Linked DNA regions of Canis lupus familiaris. The protein of the gene in region 3 purifies or fractionates together with the protein of the main gene of each other region. This does not show direct contact. Links are inferred from orthologs where the notes say so. Each region holds a gene or a part of one and is shown on either strand. Other genes may lie near its edges.

The links. The genes of interacting proteins can lie anywhere in the genome.
Region 1: the proteins of CHUK (region 3) and MYH14 purify together in Homo sapiens (affinity purification with mass spectrometry; 3 studies listed by BioGRID and IntAct, with this or other methods). This does not show direct contact. The link is inferred for Canis lupus familiaris from reciprocal best matches to the Homo sapiens genes CHUK and MYH14.
Region 2: the proteins of CHUK (region 3) and RIPK1 purify together in Homo sapiens (affinity purification with western blotting; 3 studies listed by BioGRID, with this or other methods). This does not show direct contact. The link is inferred for Canis lupus familiaris from reciprocal best matches to the Homo sapiens genes CHUK and RIPK1.

What each region holds. Positions count from the first base shown.
Region 1 is NC_049222.1:107,069,771-107,073,270, forward strand, and holds part of MYH14 (myosin-14), read right to left. Parts: intron 1,353-3,500; coding exon 1,248-1,352; intron 1,154-1,247; coding exon 1,001-1,153; intron 141-1,000; coding exon 1-140. UniProt on the Homo sapiens protein: Cellular myosin that appears to play a role in cytokinesis, cell shape, and specialized functions such as secretion and capping.
Region 2 is NC_049256.1:4,671,563-4,675,062, forward strand, and holds part of RIPK1 (receptor-interacting serine/threonine-protein kinase 1), read left to right. Parts: intron 1-925; coding exon 926-1,075; intron 1,076-3,500. UniProt on the Homo sapiens protein: Serine-threonine kinase which is a key regulator of TNF-mediated apoptosis, necroptosis and inflammatory pathways.
Region 3 is NC_049249.1:13,165,349-13,168,848, reverse strand, and holds part of CHUK (inhibitor of nuclear factor kappa-B kinase subunit alpha), read left to right. Parts: coding exon 1-14; intron 15-787; coding exon 788-911; intron 912-1,315; coding exon 1,316-1,467; intron 1,468-3,359; coding exon 3,360-3,421; intron 3,422-3,500.

The DNA.
Region 1 (3,500 bases), on a different chromosome or scaffold from region 3:
TCCAGCCGCTCCACCGCCTCAGTTTTTTCTGCCAGGCGCAGGCTTAGGGCCTCAGCCTCACGGGCTGCCCGGCGCCGGGCCTCCTCTCCTGCTTCCAGGGCTCCTGCCTCCTCCTCCTGGCGCCGCCGCCACTCTGAGAGCTGGGGGTGGGGCATGGGATGAGGAGAAAGGGTGGGTGGCTGTCATGGCTGTGACCAGACCAAGGTGTGAGTTGGTAGTGCCCTACTTCCCAGACAAGGAGCCTGAGGCCTGAGGAGAAAAGGGACTCGTTGTACTGGGTTCTTCTGCTTTGGAGTAGGCTTGAGGTTGTGAGTTCTATGAACCTCAGCTTCTTCAGGAGATGAAAATTACTCCCATCAGGACCCAGAAGATGAATCAGACCCGGACTCCACCCTGGGGAGGACTCCATTCTGATGGGGGAGACTGAGCATCAAGGCCAGGGTGGTGGAGGCTAAAGGAGAAGCAGCATGGCAGCCATGGGAACCCACAGGAGGAATTTAGAATCTGTTCAGAACATTCAAGATAGACTTCCTGGAAGAGGGGGCATTTGAGATGGATCTTGAAGTATGCATAGGAAGCTGCCAGTTGAAGAAGGATATTTAGAGGCATGCAGTCATCACTCATTCATTCATCAGACATTTCTCCAGGCCTCCTATATGCCAGGCTCTAGGTTGGCCTGTGTTGAAGACCAAGACCTAACTTTGATGGGTTCCACTTTCAAGGAGCTCCCATTCGGGTGTGTGTGGGGACCCATGGGCAGAGAGAGTTCCAGCCCAAGGTGATTGGAATGGGGATGAGAAGACAAAGGGCTTGGGAGCTCAGAGTGGGGTGGTGAAGGACAGGCTGTGGCTGAGGGAGAGTCAGAGACAAGAATGGGGGTCTCCCGGGGGTCCGGCCTAGGACTGGGTGGGCAATGGGGCCATCCCTGAGCTGAGGAATCCAGAGGAGTGGGTTGGGACTGACTGGAGGCCCCACCAGGTCTCCCTCCAGGACTGCTCACCTGGGCCTGGGCGGTCTGTAGCTCGCGGCCTGCCCGCTCCCTGGCGGCTGCCTCCTCCTCCAGCTGTTCCCGCAGCCCCGCCACTTCAGCCTCCAGGGCTCGCGCCTTGGACCCCAAGGCCAGCTTTGCCCTACTCTCCTCCTGAAGCATCTCCTACAGATGGTGGAGGAAATGGAGATAAGGTGAAGGCAGAGGGTGGAGAGCCATGGTGGGGGCGGTGCTGGGGGTTGAGTGGGGAGGGCCTCACCTGAGCGTCATGTAGCTGGGCCTCTGAGCTGCTCAGCTCCTTGCTGAGCCGGATGGCTCTGGACTCGGCCTCACTCAGGGCCCCGGATACATTCTCCAGTTCAGCCTGCAGGGAAGGGGCACCTTCCAATGGTGGCTTCCACCTGGCTGCCCCCAGCCACTCCATCCCCTCCAATCCCTACCACACCAGGCTGGTGGGGATGGCAAGTAGGGCAGCTGCTGTAGAAAACAGCCCAGTGGTTCCTCAAACACTGAAACACAGAGTCTCCTTATGGCCCAGCAATTCCCCTCCTAGGCGTGGACCCAAGAGAACTAAAGACCTATGTCTATGCAAAATCTTGTATGGGAATGTCCAGGGAGCACCATTCACCACAGCTGAAAGGTGCGAATAGCCTACCTGTCCATCAGCTGATGTGCAGATGAATAAAATGTGGCATAGCCAAATGATGGAATATTATTTGACAAGACAAAGGAATGAATGAATCTGACACGTGCTACAGCACGGGAGAACCTTGAAAACATGATTGCTGGGTGCAAGTAGCCAGACCCAAAAGGACAGATATCATATGAGTCCACTGATGTGAAATGCCCAGGATAGGGAATCTAAAGAGATAGGAAGGAAATTTGTGGTTTTGGGGGGAGGGGGGGTGTAATGGGGGGAAGGCTGGGGAATGGTAGCTGAAGAATACAATATTTCTTCCAGGGGGTGATGAAAATGTTCTAAAATTAGATTAAGGTGATGGCTGTACAACTCTAGGAATGCACCAGAAACCAATGAATTGTACACTCTAGATAGGTGAACTATACAGTATATGAGGTTTTTTTTTTAAGATTTTATTTATTTATTCATGAGAGACACAGAGAGAGAGAAAGAGAGAGAGGCAGAGACACAGGGAGAGGGAGAAGTAGGCTCCATGCAGGGAGCCTGACATGGGACTCCATCCTGGGACTCCAGGATCACGCCCTGAGTCAAAGGCAGACGCTCAACTTCTGAGCCACGCAGGCATCCGTATAGGAGTTCCTTTAAAAAAAAATATTTTATTGGGATGCCTAGGTGGCTCAGTGGTTGAATGTCTGCCTTTGGTTCAAGGCATGATCCTGGGGTCCAGGGATCGAATCCCACATCAGGCTCCCTGTGGGGAGTCTGCTTCTCCCTCTGTCTATGTCTCTGCCTCTCTCTCTGTGTCTCTCATGAATAAATAAAATCTTTAAAAATATATTTTATTTATTTATTTGAGAGAGATAATGCATGAGCAGGGGAGGGGGAGGGGCGGAAGGAAAAGCAGACTCCTCATGGAGCAGGGAGTTCAATGTGGGACTCAATCCTAGAACCCCAAAATCATGACCTGCGCCCAAGGCATATATATGCTTCACTGACTGAGCCACCCAGGGGCCCCCAGCATATGAGTTCTATTTCAACAAAGCCGTTTCCCTCCCCCACCAAAAGTTTTCACAATGATCCTGGCCTCACATTTCTTCCCAGTGGGAATCGGGTAACAGCTCACCACCTCCTTCCCCCAGACTGTCACCTCCAGGAGGGTAGGTCCTCATCTGTTTTGTTCCCTGCTGTCCCAGGAAAGGGCCTGGCACATAGCAGGTGCTCAGGAAATGTTTGTGGGATGAGAGTCTCTGGTGTTGTGTCTTGCCCTGGACCACCTGCTCTCCCTTTCTGGGGTTCACTTAGGGAACAAGGTTGGGTTCAAATTCCAGCTGGCAAGAAAATTTATCTTGGAAATGAGACAAGAAGATAACCAGGTGTCCTTCCTCCCACCCCCCAGTCTCTATCAGATTAGGAGGCATATGTGACCAGTTTATCTCATTATTAGCCATGTTAAATTTGAGTATTTCATTCAGCAGCCAGAGTTCTCCACTGTATAAGTACTTTTCTCTCTTTGTAATCATTTATTTATTTATTTATTTATTTATTTATTTATTTATTTATTTTAAAGGACTTTATTATTATTATTTTTAAATATTTTACTTATTTATTCATGAAAGACACAGAGAAAGAGGCAGAGACACAGGCAAAGGCAGAGGGAGAAGCAGGCTCAATGCAGGGAGCATGATACGGGACTCAATCCGGGGTCTCCAGGATCACGCCCTGGGTGGAAGGCAGACACTTAACCACTGAGTCACCAGGTGTCCCTGTATTTATTTATTTATTTATTTATGTATTATTTCTTTCTTTTTAGGTAATCTTCACACATAACGTGGGGCTCAAACTCATGACTCCAAGATTAAGAGTCGCATACTC
Region 2 (3,500 bases), on a different chromosome or scaffold from region 3:
GTCCATTCAAAACCTATGAATTCAAGGTATATATATGATTCAAGATCCATCTTGAATCCCCCCACTTCTGTCCCCACCAGACTCTCTAGTTCAGACCATCCGTATTTCTACTGAGGGCTGCTCATTTCCCCATTCACCCTGCAGCCAGGCTGGTCATCCTAATAGACAAGTATGACCATCTGATTCATCTATTTATAATCTTTCCAAGGCTCCCTGGGCCTCCAGTATAGAGTTCAAATTCTTCAGCATGGAATACAAGGCCCTCTCTGGCTTTTCCATCTTTCTCTAGCCTTATTCCTTACCTCTCTTTCTTTAGTCAATATGCCCAGTTATTGAGAACTACGCATAATTTCTAGGATACATCACGATTTTGGAGACTTCCAAGCTATTCATATCCTGCCCCCCTATCCTGGAATCCTGTTCTCTGAGTCCTCCTTCCTGATTTATCGATAAATCCTTCTAGTTTTTTTTTTTGATGCAGCAAAGCCTTCTCTGACCTTCTCATCATGGTTGTGTTAGCAGAAACCTTTGTACTTAATTTTTGAATAACCATTACCAATCTGTATTTTAAGTCCCTCTCAATAAACTTAGTTCTTTACGGGTAAAAGCTGTTCCATGTTCGCCTTTGTATTAAAGTCTGGAGTCTGCCATTGTTTTTATTTGTATATTCTATTCTACCAGGAGGCCACTTTGTTGTGAATTCTTTCTTTCTTCTGCAGAGGTTAAAATGTCGTTTGATCATCTGGGCAGTAGAATATGTCAGTGCCTTGTCAGAGGGTCCTTCTGCCCCTAACAGATGAGGCGCCCGTCCTAAAAGCATACCCTAGGTAGAGGAGATCAGCAGGATTGTCCAAGTTCTGCTGCCTTCCTGCCTAAGACACGCAGGACCTGAGGAAAAAATCAACGTAAATTCTTTGCCTTATAGATGCTATCTGTGAACAGCAGCTGATACTGTGCATTAAATCTGGGAACAGGCCAGATGTGGAGGACATCATTGAGTACTGCCCAGAGGAGATTATCAGCATCATGAAGCAATGCTGGGAGGCAAAACCCGAAATTCGGCCAACATTTGCTGGTAAGAGCATCTTCTGTGACTGTGTACATTGCCAGTGAGGTGACTTTCCTGGTAAGATGTTGTCAGGAAGTTGAAGTGTTCAGAAACCTGAGTTCTACTTGTGATTTCAAATAGACTTTCTAGATTTCACACATTTTGTTCGATGAAAAGATACCATCCCTCTTAAAAATGTGAAGTTATATGAGGCCCTCTTCTTTCTTTTTTCTTTCTTTCTTTTTTTTTTTTTTTTTCTGCATAATTAACTTTTTAAAAATTGTGTTAAGGGCAGCCCTGGTGGCTCAGCGGTTTAGCGCTACCTTCAGTCCAAGGCATGATCCTGGAGACCCAGGATCAAGTCCCACGTCTGGCTCCCTGCATAGAGCCTGCTTCTCTGCCTGTATCTCTGCCTCTCTTTCTCTCTTTGTGTGTGTCTCATGAATAAATAAAAAAAATCTTTAAAAATAAATAAATAAAAATTGTGTTAAAATATGCATAATGCATCAGTTACCATTTTAACCTTATTTAAGTGTACAGTTCAGCGGCGTTGAGTACGTTCACAGTGTTGTGCATCCAGCACCACCAGCCATCTCTAAAACCTCTTCATCTTCCCAAACTGAAACTTCGTATCCATTAAAACGCACCAACTCCCCATCCCCCTTCCCCCAGCCCTGGCAGCCACCCTTCTGACTTTTCATCCCTATGAATTTATTCTATTATTTCTATCATTACATCAATAGGCACGATTCTAGGCACCTCGTGGAGTCATACAGTTTTTGTCTTTTCGTGCCTGGCTTGTTTCACTCAGGATAATGTCTAGGGTTGCTCTGTGCTGTGGTGTGTGTCAGAAGTTCCTTCCTTTTTTTTTTTTTTTTGTAAGATTTTATTCATTTATTCATGACAGAGAGAGAGGCAGAAACACAGGCAGAGGGAGAGAGAAGGGGTGTGTGTGTGTGTGTGTGTGTGTGTATGTATACACACACGCCGCATTTTCTTTATTCATTCATCTGTTGATGGATACTTTGGTAGCTTCCACTGGTCCTTTTTTATTAGCATCTTTTATTTCTTCTCCTTCCCCTTGGGATGCAGACTTCTTTGGAAATGTATATTGTCATTTAGATTAGGCCTGTAGGGCAGCCCGGGTGGCTCAGCCGTTTAGCGCAGCCTTCGGCCCAGGGTGTGATCCTGGAGACCCGGGATCAAGTCCCACGTCGGGCTCCCTGCATGGAGCCTGCTTCTCCCTCTGCTTGTGTCTGTGCCTCTCTCTCTCTCTCTCTCTCTCTGTCTCTCATGAATAAATAAATAAAATCTTTAAAAAAATTAGGCCTTTAATAGAGGGCGAGGAAAGGGGACATGAATGTTTGTCACATCCTTGCATGTCTTCCCATTCCACTAGGTTACCTAGGACCTTGCTAAGATTCTAGAGGCAGAGGAAAGAAAATCAGGTAAGCAAGAAATAAATAGTAGGAAGTCACTTAGGAGCCTATTTCTGCCATGAGAAAACAGAATAAAGCCCCACCCACCACTAGAACCAAGGATTAGAAGGGTACTTTGATTTACTTGCTTGTTTTCCTATTTTCCTAGTCAGCCTGAATCCTCTCCTGACCTGGTCTCTTCTTTTCTTTTATGCCTTTTTCACTTTTTTAAAATTAAAGTTCCTATTTTGAGATAATTGTAGATGTACCTGTGGTTGTAAGAAAAACAGGGGCACCTGGCTGGCTCAGTCAATAGAGTATGCAACTCTTGATCTCGGGGGTTGTAAGTTCGAGCCCCAGGCTGGATGTACAGGTTACTAAAAAATCTTTCTAAAAAAAATAGGGAAAAGAAAAGAAATAACACAGAAATATCCCATATACCTTTTACCTAGTTTACCCCAGTGATAGCATCTGGCCAAACTACAGTATGGTTTTACAACTAGGATGTTGACCTTGATACAGTCAGATGCAGGTCATCTCCATCACCAGAAGGGTGCCTTATGTTGCCTTCTTGTACCCACACCCACTTTCCTCCCCAACGCCACCCTCCTCCTTCACCTCTGTTGATCTCTAATCTGTTCTCCGTTTCTGTCATTTTTTGTCACTTCACAAATACTACATAAGTAGAATCATAGGGACCCCTGGGTGGCTCAGCAGTTGAACATCTGCCTTTGGCTCAGGGCATGATCCCGGAGTCCTGGGAACGAGTCCCACATCAGGCTCCCCACATGGAGCCTGCTTCTCCCTCTGCCTGTGTCTCTGCCTCTCTCTCTCTGTGTCTCTCATGAATAAATAAATAAAATCTTAAAAAAAAATAGAATCATAAAATACTTTTTGGGAATGCTTTGGGTTTGGCTTTTTGCCATTCAGCATGATTCATCCAGGCTATTGTGTATACCAACGATTTGTTCTTTTTATTGCTGAGTAGTATTCCATGGTGTGGATGTACCACAGTTTGTTTATTCTTTCCTCAA
Region 3 (3,500 bases):
TGTAAATTATATTGGTAAGTATAGCTCATTTACTGACTGAGGTTTAAAACTGAAATAATACAATTTTGACTTAATATGGTTAGTAGAAATGGTCTTTTGGTGTTTCTGTTCTGTATCTCATACTTCTGGTTTTTAATTATGATGAGAAATGAATTTATACAGATTGGAAGGTGAAATAGTAGATTTCAAGTCATCTCTAGATCCCTCATTTGGAAGAAGACTTACTTTCTGCAGGATAAGGCTCTCACAGAAGAATGAATCTCCACTATTAATTAAGCCTGCTTTCTAGTTGCTTTATGTAAGCGTGTTCAGATACTTCATTTTATATGAATACTGCTTAACGTTCAAATGTTTTCATTTATCCTGTGAGAATTACTCTTTTCTTTGGAAGAAGTGATTAGTTTCTGTATACCCAAAACTAAAATTAAAGCATAGTATTGTAAAATCAAGAACAAAACTGGGCAAAGGGCTGAAATCATGTAATCTTTCCTTTTTGTTAGTTTTTTTTAAACAACAGCTTTAAATTTACAGAAAAATTGAGACACCTGGGTGGCTCAGCGGTTAAGGTTCTATTTGCCTTTGACTTAGGGCATGATTCTGGAGTCCCGGGGTCGAGTCCAACATCGGGCTTCCTGCATGGAACCTGCTTCTCCCTCTGCCTATGTCTCTGCCTGTCTCTTCTGTGTCTCTCATGAATAAATAAATAAAATCTTTAAAATAAATAAATGAATAAGTAAATAAATAAAAAGTAACTTCCCACCTCTTTTCCCCATCTTTTTACATATAGTACGGGACAGCAAAATTCAGCTTCCAATTATACAGCTGCGTAAAGTATGGGCTGAAGCAGTGCACTATGTGTCTGGGCTGAAAGAAGACTATAGCAGGCTCTTTCAGGGACAAAGAGCAGCAATGTAAGTGGATTCTGTTGTTTACAGGTGCAATGTCATGTGCATTAATGTTCAAGAATTAATCTTGCTGTTTTCACTAATCAGTATTCCACGCAATACTGAAATATTGGACTAATCTGAAATATAATATTCTCACCAGACTTAAAGAATTCTTACTAATGGTCTGAAACCATCCAATTGCAACAGCTTGAGAGTAGTTCCTGAGCAGTCCTAGTATAAGAAGATTGTTTTATCTTAGAATATCACAGGTAGGGAGTCTTCAGAGACTAGATTCTAGTCTAAACTATTTCTCACAGATTGATAATAGAAGCTTAGGCTTTGGGTTTATGGCAGTTTAAGCTATTAAATTTTTGTTCACTGTTTCTGAAATACTAATTTTTTTTTTTTTTTTTTTTGCTATGGTTTAGGTTAAGTCTTCTTAGATATAACGCTAACCTGACAAAAATGAAGAACACTTTGATCTCAGCATCTCAGCAACTGAAAGCTAAATTGGAGTTTTTCCACAAAAGCATTCAGCTTGACTTGGAAAGATACAGTGAGCAGATGACTTATGGGATATGTGAGTGTTTGGGTAACATGTTTGAAAGAAGTGTTGAATCTCTTGAAGCCATCTTCTGTTTTGCCTTCTTGCCTCAGCCCATTGTTTCATTTATATTAACATTAGAGCAAGAGATAGGTTGCCTCAAGACCTCATAAACAGTGTTTGTACTGAATAGTAGCTGCTTTTAACCTTTATATTAGCAACTTTACTTCCCCACAATTGAACTATAATTGGACTAGGATGGTTTAGCTTCAGAAAAATTCAAAAGCAATTTAAGAACTTTTGATTTTCAAGTCTCATTTTTGAAATAGAGGCGCCTGGGTAGCACAGTTTCTGTTTGACTCGTGGTTTCAGCTCAGGTCATAATCTCAGGGTCCTGAGATCAAGCCCCACATGGGGCTCTGTGCTCAGCATAGAGTCTGCTTAAGACTCTCTCCCTCTCTCTCTCATACCTCCCCTCTGTACACAGTGTCTCTCACTCTCTCTCAAATAAGTAAATCAATCTTTTAAAAAATAGATACAAAGTCTGTATTGGGATGTCTCCTTAACCAGGGAAGTCTTAAACTACTTATCTTACTGTAAATAATAATACAAATAATTCCAGAGTTTTTTCTTCCAAACCACCTACTGTGGAGTCCCCCCCCCCCCCTTTTTTAGTATGGTACACAGCCTCCAGTTTTCAATATTTGACTCTAAGCTCTCTCCTTTCAGATGTATTAAGGAAATGTAAGATGCAGATTTAAAATTCAAATAATAAGCTGAAGGGGTCACCACCAATATTTCTGTTTTCTGTCATAAAACAAATTATTTTTTGGGAAACAAATCCTATTCGTATAACTTGTCTTAAGCAAAGTGTATGTGTAACAGAATAAATGATCAGCAGTATCCAATTGGGTAAGTTTACCCATTAGGACTGGTTCTATGATTGATGTTTTATTTCTATTTTTGTATAATAAGCATTCTAATGAATGGCAGAACACTGTAATTATTTCACCAAATTATCTTTGACTAATCAGCTGTTAAAAAGGAATGACACAGACCTGTGTACTCATACTAAAGGATCACTTGGGTCTTTAATGGCAGTGATGTATTAAAAAAAAACAGAGAGAAAAGTATATAGAGATAGTCTCACTTATGAGGGAAAAGGGTATGTGTCTATGTAACAAGTGATTAACAGTAAGATCCTTAGAGTGGAGGGGACAAAGAGAGAGTCTTTTCTTTTTATATCCTTTTATAGTATTTGATTTTTAAAAAATCATGTTCATGTATTACTTTTCCTTTTTTTTTTTTTTTTTCATTTTTTAAGAGAAAACTATTTATATTGGTTTCTTAGGGGTGCTGTAGCAAGTTACTATAAACTAGGTGGCTTAAAGCCACAGAAATTTAAATAAATAAATAAATAAATAAATAAACAAATAAATAAATAAAACCATAGAACTGTGTCACAGTTCCAAAGGCTGAAAATCCAAATCAAGGTGTTGGCAGGGTCCATGAACCCCCTGAAAGCTGTGGGGAAGAATACTTCCTAGCTTCTTCCTAGGTTCTCGTGGTTTGCCAACAGTCTTTAGCTCCTTGGCTTACAGCTGTAGCACTTTAATCTATACCTCTGTCGTCAAAATAGAGCTCTCTCTTCATGTGTTTGGGTTTCTCATAAGAAAACTAGTCATACTGGATTAATCCACCCTACTCCAGGATGATCTCATCTTAATTAGCTAACTGCAACTGGCAGTGACCCTATTTCCAAATAAGGTCACATTCTGAGGTACTGAATTAGGACTTCAACAAAGCTTTTTGGGGGGACAGTTCAATCTATAACACCATTTTTGATGATGATATGGCAAGGAAGTGGATAGGTCAGTAATTAAGGCTATAGCTATTTCTGAGATAACCAATTAAGACTTTTTTTTTAGCCTCAGAAAAAATGTTAAAAGCATGGAAGGAAATGGAAGAAAAGGCTATCCACTATGCCGAGGTAAAATCACTAGCTCACTCTATATGCTTATTAATTCCTGAGGTCTCTCATAGAAGTTGTCTTTGGTTTCAATATATAG